3 linked regions of the Nothobranchius furzeri genome follow. The protein of the gene in region 1 interacts with the protein of each later gene in a pairwise test. Links are inferred from orthologs where the notes say so. Each region holds a gene or a part of one and is shown in the gene's direction. Other genes may lie near its edges.

Region 1 (4,278 bases):
CTTCTGGCCAAAATAGGCTCCTGACGACATGATGTCACAAAGCACTTAAAACTTTTCTGTCAAACATTTTCTTCTTCTGTTTATTTTCTGCAAAAGAGCGTTTTCTCCCCATTAATCAGAGTTTGTCTCTGAACCCGTTCTGCTGTCCAGCCGTCACCAGGCGAGAGGCAGGAGACACCTGGGGCCAGGCGGGAGGCGGGGGACACCTGGGGCCAGGTGGGAGGCGGGGGACACCTGGGGCCAGGCGGGGGGCACCTGGGGCCAGGCGGGAGGCGGGGGGCACCTGGGGCCAGGCGGGAGGCGGGGGGCACCTGGGGCCAGGCGGGAGGCGGGAGACACCTGGGGCCAGGCGGGAGGCGGGGGGCACCTGGGGCCAGGTGGGAGGCGGGGGACACCTGGGGCCAGGCGGGAGGCGGGGGACACCTGGGGCCAGGCGGGAGGCGGGGGGCACCTGGGGCCAGGTGGGAGGCGGGGGACACCTGGGGCCAGGCGGGAGGCGGGGGACACCTGGGGCCAGGCGGGGGGCACCTGGGGCCAGGCGGGAGGCGGGGGGCACCTGGGGCCAGGCGGGAGGCGGGGGACACCTGGGGCCAGGCGGGAGGCGGGAGACACCTGGGGCCAGGCGGGGGGCACCTGGGGCCAGGCGGGAGGCGGGGGACACCTGGGGCCAGGCGGGAGGCGGGAGACACCTGGGGCCAGGCGGGAGGCGGGAGACACCTGGGGCCAGGCGGGAGGCGGGAGACACCTGGGGCCAGGCGGGGGGCACCTGGGGCCAGGCGGGAGGCGGGGGACACCTGGGGCCAGGCGGGAGGCGGGGGGCCTCGTTTTAAAAAATTTCTAATGTGATCAGCTGTTTCTGTATCACATCCCTCCTCCTGGGATCTTTCTGCATGGAGTTTGCATGTTCTCCCTGTGCACGCGTGGGGTCTGTCTGGGTACTACGGCTTCCTCCCACCATCCAAAAACATGACTGTTAGGTTAATTGGTTTGTCTAAATTGTCCTTAGGTGTGAGTGTGTGTGCAGGATTGTTTGTCCTGTGTGTCTCTGTGTTGCCCTGCGATGGACTGGCTCTCTGTCCAGGGTGTACCCTGCCTACTTGCCCGTTGACTGCCTTGAGATTGGGTCATAATGAATCTGTTCAGTTTGAAGCTGCAGAAGACTCTAAAGATAACCTTTGAAATGTTTAAAGTCTACCCGTGAACTCTAGCGGGAACTAAATGTGGATTAATCATGGGACATTAGTGGCTGTGTCGGGTTTTAAACCGTTTTCTGTGTTTTGTCTCCAGACGTCCACGCCTTCGGTGAAACTCACCGTTTCTGCTCTGGGGAGAGAAGCTCCAACAGCAGAGACAACATCAACAGTAGGTTTGGGGCTCCAGAGACACTTTTTACATGAAATTAAAGAAATGTCTGCATTCAGGGTTAAGTTCTCAGGTGGAGTTCAAACCAACTTTATTTAAAAAGCACCATTTCACCACAAGCGCTGAACAAAAGCTGTTATGTTATGCAGTCGTGATCCTAATAATAAGATGAGCGTTAGCTTCATCTGGACCTGCAGGCAATGACACAGACATCAAACCCACACTGGTAAACAGGAAGTCCAGATCAGGAGAGCTTGGGAACTACAAGCTCCGCCTCCCACGCTGGTCCTTCAGGCCAGGCTGAAGACCAATGGTGCTGCTGTGGCCCCCAGACTCTGGACCTCTCTCCCCCTGAGCCTGAGATCAGTGGACTCCTTTAAACTGGCCTGTTCAGGCTTTGGTGGGACCCCCTCTTCATCCTCTTCTTCCTCACTAGCTTCTCCTCATGCTGCTGTTTCTACCAGTTCTGCCTTTCTCGGGATCCTGTGTTACATTTTCCCTTTTTTATTATTAAATCGTTTGATCGTTTTCTTTTTTACTTGAGGCTCTCTAAACGGGGCATCCGCGGGTCCTTAAAGGGTCTTAAATGTGCTTTTCCAAATTTAAGGCCTTAAAAATCCTTAAAAATGACAAATTATCCTTAAATCCAGTTTCCAAGTGTCTTAAATTGCCAAAGACCCAATAAACAACACACAAGATTCTTTTATGTCTATAAAAATGTTGTGAATTTCTAGTTAGTGTTCAGCATTTTTTGTGTACGATGTTGGCGTAAGCGGAACCGTACGCATTCAGTTGGTTGTGAAAGGGGCTATTTTTAGATGAGCACGTTAGCTGGTTAAGCTAGTGGGAGCTTGCGCCATGGGGAAGTGCAAGTTTAATGGTAACTAGATGGCTAATCCCACGTTCGCGACGTGGTTAGCACCGCTTCCAGGCAATAACTGGAAATTATAGCTTAAATTTGGTCAAAGTGGCCTTAAAAAAAGGTCTTAAAGTCTTAAATTTGGCCTCCTTAAACCTGCAGATACCCCGTTTCTTCCTTTGGAACCACCTTCAGTAACGCTGCAGCTCTGAAGCGCTTCTAACCCTGTCCGCTGACAGGAGTGCAGTGATGGCGCTGTCAGTCACAAACACATGCTAATGCAGGACACAAAGCTCCTGATTTCTGAGACCTTGTTCAGATAAAAACATAAAAAAAACCTGATGAATTAGTTTTAGTACAAACAAAGTTAAGTCATCTATTACCTTCCTGTTTCCTCCCTCCTCCAGTTCTGGGAGTGCACGTCTCTGTCGTCTCTTGACACCTCCGGGATGGGATCCAGCTCTGGTTCCGCCTCAGGCTCCAGCAGCGCCTCCTCCTCCTCCGTCTCCTCCTCCACGCCGCTGTCGGCCTCTCGCTCACACAAACGCTCGGTGTCGGCGGTGTCGAACTACTCCACGCTGTCGCTGCCGCTCTACAACCAGCAGGTGGACGACTGCTGCATCATCCGGGTGAGCCTGGATGTGGAGAACGGCAACATGTACAAGAGCATCCTGGTGAGAGCGGAGCAACCTTTCTGCCTTTTACGCTTCAGGAATGGCGTCTAATGAATACGTGACCTTTGGGTTAACTCAGGTGACGAGTCAGGACAAGACTCCCGCCGTCATCAGGAAGGCCATGATCAAACACAACCTGGAGCGGGAGAAAACCGAGGAATACGAGCTGATGCAGAAACTCTCAGAGGACAAAGGTGAAGGCAGAAAATGAATCCATGCATCGCGGGTTCTCCTGACGAGAATAAATAAGATGTAGCTACTGCTACCGGGCAGACCCCCACCTGCCATGTGGGGTCACTAACATTAGCTTAGCTTCACAACCAGACCAGCTCCTTCACTGCTGCTGGTGATCAGATGCGAGTCTGGGTTGCCATGGTGACGACACTATCTGTAACAGCAGCTTTTCTCGTGGATCTGACCAATAAAAGCCTCTTATTTAACCGCATTAATGCGTTTGTTCCGCAGAGCTCCGGATACCCGACAACGCCAACGTCTTCTACGCCATGAACTCCACTGCCAACTACGACTTTGTGCTGAAGAAGCGAGGCCCGGCGCGGCCGCCGCGGGCCAAGAACGTGGCCAGCTCCACGCTGCCTCGCATGAAGCAGAAGGGACTGAAAATCGCCAAGGGGATTTTCTGAGGGGGGCGGGATGCTCGCCACTTCCTGCCTCCTAACCGCCATTTCCCCCCTGGTGTGGTTGCTCCTCTTTGGGAGACGACCTGAAGTGTCCACGCTTTAGTTCGGACAGCGGCAGAAACGTTGGAGGACGAACCGACTGGTGTTTCCGTGGAGTCGCAGGAAGCAGAGGAGCACTTTAGCACTTAGCTGCTCAGCAGCTGTCTGCGTTTCCGAAACTCACCTGTGGGGAAAAGCAGCCTCTGTTCTCGGCACTACGGCAACCCTTTATGTCATTTATGGAAAATTATTAAGAGTTCCTGATCCATCACCTTTTGTTTACAGCAGTTTACGACCACGTTCACTTTTACACGCCGTGACTCTTCTGGCACTCCCCCAACCCTAACCACACACACACACACACACACACACACACACACCCCTAACGGACCGGTGGGCGGCGCAGACACTGCAGCTGTCAGAATGTGTTTCTGTGGTTCAGGGAGCTTCAGCTCCGAATGCGTCGGGATGCGCGTTGGCCCTGACGTGCTACAAAAAAACTGGAGACCTGTCAAAGCGCAGTGGGCGTGGCCACGAGTCTGGCCCTGCTGTTTGTTATGTTACTAACACACGTTAACCACTACATCCTGGAGGGCGAGCATCGTCCTTGGACCGCGACTGAAAGCAGACGGAGTGTAAATATGTCTCGTAGGAGACTCCTGTTGTTGTTGATGTTTTGTTGTTTACTTCTCTGCTCTCACATGGT
Region 2 (2,425 bases), on another chromosome or scaffold:
TTTTCTAGTTTGAGATGATCATGAAACAAACACCCCCTTTTCAAGCCTGCAGAGGTAGCTTTCCTATTAAATAAGACGCATTTAAAAAAGACAGCCTGTTTAACTCTGTTTCTTTAGTTTATCACACTTGCACCTATGCAGTATGTCCCCCTCCCCCTGCGTATTCCTCAGCATTGAGGAAAGTTGTGTCTTATACTGCAGAAAGTGGAAGAATCCTTTTACACTCTGGTACGGGAGATCAGGCTGTACCGGGTCAATAAGCTCAGCAAGGAAGAAAAGACTCCAGGCTGTGTCCACCTTAAAAAGTGTGTTTTGATGTGAGAGGGGTAAGTGCACGCAGCCGCGCACCCACGAGCTCAGCTCTGTTTGTGTTGTTAGTGGGACTTCTGGAAAAGGCTGTGGAAGTGAGCGCTGGTGCTTTAAATTGTTTTTCTCAAAGCTAACCCACTGGTTTCATGGAGGGTTATGGTGAGGCTCTAACACCGGACTGATTCCTTCCTCTTTCGGTGTGTCTGTGGTTGATTATTATCCAGGACAGCTTTCACACTGGGTTCATTTATTCTCTGAGCCGCTTTGATCGACCCCTTCTGAGGCGCTTTCACACGTGTTTCGCACACTTTTACATCATTCTTTCCTCTTGTTGGTGCATGGGCCAACCCCTCTTTCTACAATGAAATTATAGAGCAAATTAGGGCTGCACGATATTAGGAAAACCTGCGATATTCGATAACAGTGCTTAATATTGCGATTTCGATATTACTTGCGATAAATGAACAAATACTAAAGTATGCAGTGTTGATGTCGTCTGGCGTGTGACGTCTGCTCTGGGTTCAAAGCAAACAAAAACTAATGCATGAATTCCATTACAACATAACATTTTTATTGCAAAAATATGCAGCTGCACCTGCTACTGTATTAGCAGCAAAACAGCAAACTGCATGCATGCAGTTCCTCAGTGACTTTAAAACATCACCTCCACCATAGAACATTTACTGATGCTCCAAATACAGAAAAACATCCCTTACCAGGGTTTTTGAATAAATAAAAAAATCTGAAAGTAAGTTTAAATGTTAAATAATAGTCAACATCACTTAAATGCAACAGCAAATTCTCTCATTGCTACTGAACATTTTCTCCACTAATGTGGTTATGAGATAAGGCTGTTGCTGTAATTGGGAAGTGATCTGTCCTGGGCCAAACTAGGAGAATATTAAGATTTTTTGAGGGAAAGAGAAAAACAATTGTCTGCCTTTCAGAAGAGGAACTGGCAAAAAAAACTACAAGGAAAATATGTGAAAACGTTTGTTTTTAACCCCAAATTGAACAAGTTTACCTAGATCTTAAAAAGCAGCTCAATATTTTCCAGGCCCTCTTTAGCAGGAGAGTGCTGTAGCCTTTTAGCTGGAAGCTAACCGGAGCCTGGGGCTAACATCACCACCCGGTGGAACACTAACAACATGAAGGTGGATTGGTTCACTGGCACGTTTCGGAGTCAACCCGGTAAAAATGATTAACAACACCGAGCGGACTCACGTTCACGTTTGAAAGCAGCGCTGATTCCAGAAACCTCAGCACAAAGTGCGTTCGTTGCTCTGAGCCAGCATGACGAACAAGGGAACGGCACCGCTAACTCAGTTCGGGTGATGCTTTCATCCTAATGGTCTACGTAGGGGGCGGGCGTATTACGTGAACTGACCCATCTGATTGGCCGCATATCAGAAGGGCTACATTTGATTGGTCGAATAATACTTCCGCGTAAAAAACAGAGCTGGTTTACAAAAAGCTGATGTATGACACAGATGGAAATGTTTGAACCAAACATTTATCGCTGTTTTTGGCGTGCTTTGCGATGGGCCTATCGCACGTCCTGTTATCCCGATGACGATAATTTTTCTATATATTGTGCAGCCCTAGAGCAAATTAATAAAAAAAAAAAACCTCTGGTCTGAGTTTGTTTAGATCAAATACCCTTGTGATCAGAGCGGTGGACAAATCTGTTCCTAAATCAGACCGAACTACCAGTGTGAAAGTGTCCAAATGGGCTGAAATCAACAGGAGCGCAGGAGTTTTGGGCTGTTGGTCAGCATTTGTGATTAAAGGATATTATTGTAAATGTGGGACTAAATCATGCTGAAATGTCTAAAACTTGTGTGTAAACATGTCTGGCAAACGTGAATCCTTCCGTTTTTGTTCTTTTGTTGCTCTGCTGTCTTTGTGACGACTTGACTCGCCATCAGGCTCTGTACCCAACTGTTATTGCAGATTATTGTCGCATTGTATTATGTTGCGACAATGTTTTATCCCCCAGACACCAGCTGCATTGACATAAAGCCGTCTTTTTCCTCAATTAGCATAATTAAAAGTAGGAGGGGAATCAGTTTGAATCCATTTGACGTAAGAAATAATAACCTCTTAAAGCGTAATT
Region 3 (3,655 bases), on another chromosome or scaffold:
TCAGTATGCAGTATGTAGAAGAACACACACACACACACACACACACACACACACACACACACACACACACACACACATACAAATGTTTGTTTTAAACAGTTTTTCCTTCCTCCATATACATTAGTCAAGCCTTACCCGATTTACTATATGCTTACCACGGCTGGAATGCTATCCAGGGTTTGTGTTGCGTGCGTCGTCGTCGTCGTCCCCCCCCCCCGCGCAGACTGACATTTTCATTTCCTGTCTAGTTGACTGTTATACGTTGTATAACACGCCAGCTGTGTTATAGCGGGGAAACATTTAATTTGATCTAGGTTTCTTTAGCCTCATGCAGGTGATTACCCTGATTTTTGTGTTGTTTGTCTGTATCATTTGGGGTGAGTCTGCTCTGTAGACATCCACGTAACACCACCTCGTCTGATTTCACAGCTTTGAAGAAATCTACAAATTCCAAAGACAGATTCTTCGGGTCAAAGACCGAGACGAATTTCCCATGATCCTCGTAGGAAACAAAGCAGATCTGGATCTACAGAGACAAGTAAGTTTGCATTGATCCGAAACCCTCTGACTGACAAACGCAAGCGTCGTTTTTATCATCCAAGGAGATTTGAGCGGGTCTGAAGGGATTCACAGTTGTGTGCTTTACAGTGAGCGTGTTGCAGCTGCAGCTGGTTTCTAAGATACGACAGGATGTGAACAGAAAAATGAGAGAGTCTGCAGGAACTGGGGTGTCAGAAGGGGAGGATTGATGGGGAAGAAGGAGCATGATGAAATGAAGACTTTTAACTGTTGGGATTCAATCACCTGTCTTTTTCATGTGATGCCACATCGCCCCCTACTGGTTAAAATAAATATCTCTTGAAGGCACAGTTAACTTTCTATGAATCCGTTTAAGCATTTTGCATCACATAAAATTCCCCTTTTCTAAATTGTCTCACCTTCAGGTGTAGGTATAGGTATCGCCATTAGAATGACGGTGACCAAATTGTACATGAAAGTCTGTAAACATCCAAACGGCAACTCAACAATAGCAGCCGATATAGTGACTGACATTGCTAACATGCACGCTCAGCCCATCTTTCTGCATTCTGCCTCATATCTCACGCACATTTTTAAATCACGAGTCTGAATGCAAATTTTTTGCAGAGTCCCAGATGTCCTCTACATGCTAATGAGACTGCTTGAGATCTGGTTTGGCTTTATGAACATGTTCTGTTTAAATAAAGAAAAGTAAGGAGGAAAGCACCATAGGGTGCTTCTCTAAAGATGGAACCGAGTTTAATTATTAAAACGACAAAGGTGAAACTCAATGGGTAAAGTTGGTTAAACTGTTCCTGGGAGACGAGTCAAGTTTGCTGAATGATCGTGGTATTCTTTTTTTTTTTTTTTACCTCATTCATAAGTTAAGACAAGAATTACTCAAATATAAACATAAACACTGTCAGAGGATGGTGTTTGGGTTGTCCCGTGCATTTGTGTTTGGTGTCAGTGTTTTTCTGTTTATTTTTTTTGGCACAGGTAACCCAGGAAGAGGGCCAGCAGCTGGCCAGACAGTTAAAGGTCACGTATATGGAGGCTTCAGCCAAAATCCGAATGAACGTAGACCAAGCTTTCCACGAGCTGGTTAGAGTAATCAGGTATGTCCTTCCCATTACCAATGATCAAACCGTTACTGTTGTTGATCCTTCTCAGAAATCAGTAAAAAACACAAACAATATGTTTTCTGTTAATGTGACGACCAAAATAAAGAGATAAGAAGTAACCTGGGGGACTCACAACAGTAGCAACTGTTGCTAGGAAATACTTTTTGCCGTGTTTTTCTTTTTTTACTTTTTAGGACGAATTGGAAATAATCGTATTGATATCAGAAAACTGTATACACACGTCTTTTGTTGTCCGTGACTTCAAATGGTGTTTTTCGTTTTGGGACTCTGGCAGTTTGCCCTAAAGATGAAGTGGTAGCAGCCGACTGTTTCTCCTTCTCTGATATCAATGTGCGGAGGACTCTGTGGTCTAGTGAGACAACCGTATGGTCCAGTCGGTGGTTTTGGGCCAACATGGAAGCAGTCCGCGAATGTACACACACACACACACACACATCACGCCTGGAAAATTTGCAGGGGAATCACTGGGTTGATCTAATGGTTGCCACACCAGGGCCGCGTTAAAATAAAATAAACTGCTTGACATTATAATCGATTATGATATTCTTCCACAACGATTCATAACTAGATAAACTGCATTTCTTGCAGGAATGCTGTTTGAATGCTGGATAGCTTAAACTGTTAGCTGAATCAGCTTAATAGCTGAACTGAAGCTGAAAGTAAGCAAAACTGTCAAAATGAGCTGAATGTGTTGAAAGGTGTAGAAGGAAAAATCACCAACAAGCAAATAAAGCACAAAAAGTAAGTGAAGAATGGAGAAAAGTTATCCTAAATAGCAGAAAATTGAAATCTGTGAACATTGTATAAAAATCTGGACAGCTAAAATGTCTAAACACCTGTTATTTCAGTTGGACAAATTTAACAGTTTAATCTTTACATTTAGCTGAACTGTGAAATTAGCAGCTTATGTATGGAGCTAGGATTGGGACAATATTCAGCGTAACTTGTACCAAGTTTTGTAACTTCGATCATGTTTCATCACATGTAACTTTGGATTCGTAACTTTAGTTTTCTTTTAATTCTCAATTCGTACTTGTATTGTTTTGTAACAGGAACATTGTATTTTGTACATGTATTTTTTATTTTGTAAAATCAAACTTTTATTTTGTACATTTACTACTCATTTTGTAACATCAAACATTCATTCAGAAACATGAAACTTTCGTTTTGTAACTAGCAGACTTCCAAATTGAAAAAATCAAGGTACAAGTTTGCAATCAAAACTCTCAAAACACACATTTCATTCTACAGGTACAAACCTCAAATCTACAGTGTTACAGATCTTTTTGTCTCGATTCTAGAGTCAGTGGGAGGAACTTGGGTGAAACCAATGAGAGCACGAGTCTTAGCTACCAATCACGTTTCTCGAATTCCTGTCCAATCATTGGGAGAGGAAGGCAGGGTTCTGTCAGAGCTGTAGAGAGAGTTACGACACGGAATGCGGGAGCATGGGTTTCAATGAGACAGAATCAGGGTCTGTCCTCTTCTAAGGTTTGTAGAGAAAGAAATGTAACCCTTAAGAACAAAATGAAACCCATTCTGAAAAGCTGACAAAAATTCCTACTTTTTGAGATATGATTTGTTTCTGTACTCCAAACGGTCTGGGTGTTGGAAAGAGTTGTTTCCAGAAAACGTGAAGGTCAAAAGTTAGAGTGTGGAATTTTCAGTTTAGAGTGGTGAGAGACATTTTTTAAATTTTGAATATTGTCAAAGAAATGAACCGTACGACCACAATGTTTGGAGTACATTCATGAGTTATAGCTCAAAACGAAGGTATATCCGTTAGCTGCAAGCCAGCATGCGTCTCATTTCAATCGGACTTAAATCATTCACTGCCATTGACGACTAAAGTCGTCATTTTAGATCCAACCGTTCACTGCCAATGACGACTAAAATCGTCATTTGCATTTTTTTACTGTTAGAGCATCGGAACGAGCCCCCGCGCTGAGAGAACAAACATTTCAACCCTGAAGCCGATCTTCATCCGCATA

What was found.
Region 2: the proteins of ralgds (region 1) and kras interact in a two-hybrid assay, tested with the Homo sapiens proteins (3 studies listed by BioGRID and IntAct). The link is inferred for Nothobranchius furzeri from reciprocal best matches to the Homo sapiens genes RALGDS and KRAS.
Region 3: the proteins of ralgds (region 1) and rras2 interact in a two-hybrid assay, tested with the Homo sapiens proteins (2 studies listed by BioGRID and IntAct). The link is inferred for Nothobranchius furzeri from reciprocal best matches to the Homo sapiens genes RALGDS and RRAS2.

What each region holds. Positions count from the first base shown.
Region 1 is NC_091750.1:38,647,260-38,651,537, reverse strand, and holds the end of ralgds (ral guanine nucleotide dissociation stimulator), read left to right. Parts: intron 1-1,287; coding exon 1,288-1,362; intron 1,363-2,628; coding exon 2,629-2,895; intron 2,896-2,974; coding exon 2,975-3,089; intron 3,090-3,360; coding exon 3,361-3,536; 3' UTR 3,537-3,712; downstream 3,713-4,278. UniProt on the Homo sapiens protein: Functions as a guanine nucleotide exchange factor (GEF) activating either RalA or RalB GTPases and plays an important role in intracellular transport. Interacts and acts as an effector molecule for R-Ras, H-Ras, K-Ras, and Rap.
Region 2 is NC_091744.1:73,826,224-73,828,648, forward strand, and holds part of kras (GTPase KRas), read left to right. Parts: intron 1-201; coding exon 202-321; 3' UTR 322-326; intron 327-2,425. UniProt on the Homo sapiens protein: Ras proteins bind GDP/GTP and possess intrinsic GTPase activity. Plays an important role in the regulation of cell proliferation.
Region 3 is NC_091749.1:61,820,975-61,824,629, reverse strand, and holds part of rras2 (ras-related protein R-Ras2), read left to right. Parts: intron 1-429; coding exon 430-538; intron 539-1,518; coding exon 1,519-1,637; intron 1,638-3,655. UniProt on the Homo sapiens protein: GTP-binding protein with GTPase activity, involved in the regulation of MAPK signaling pathway and thereby controlling multiple cellular processes. Regulates craniofacial development.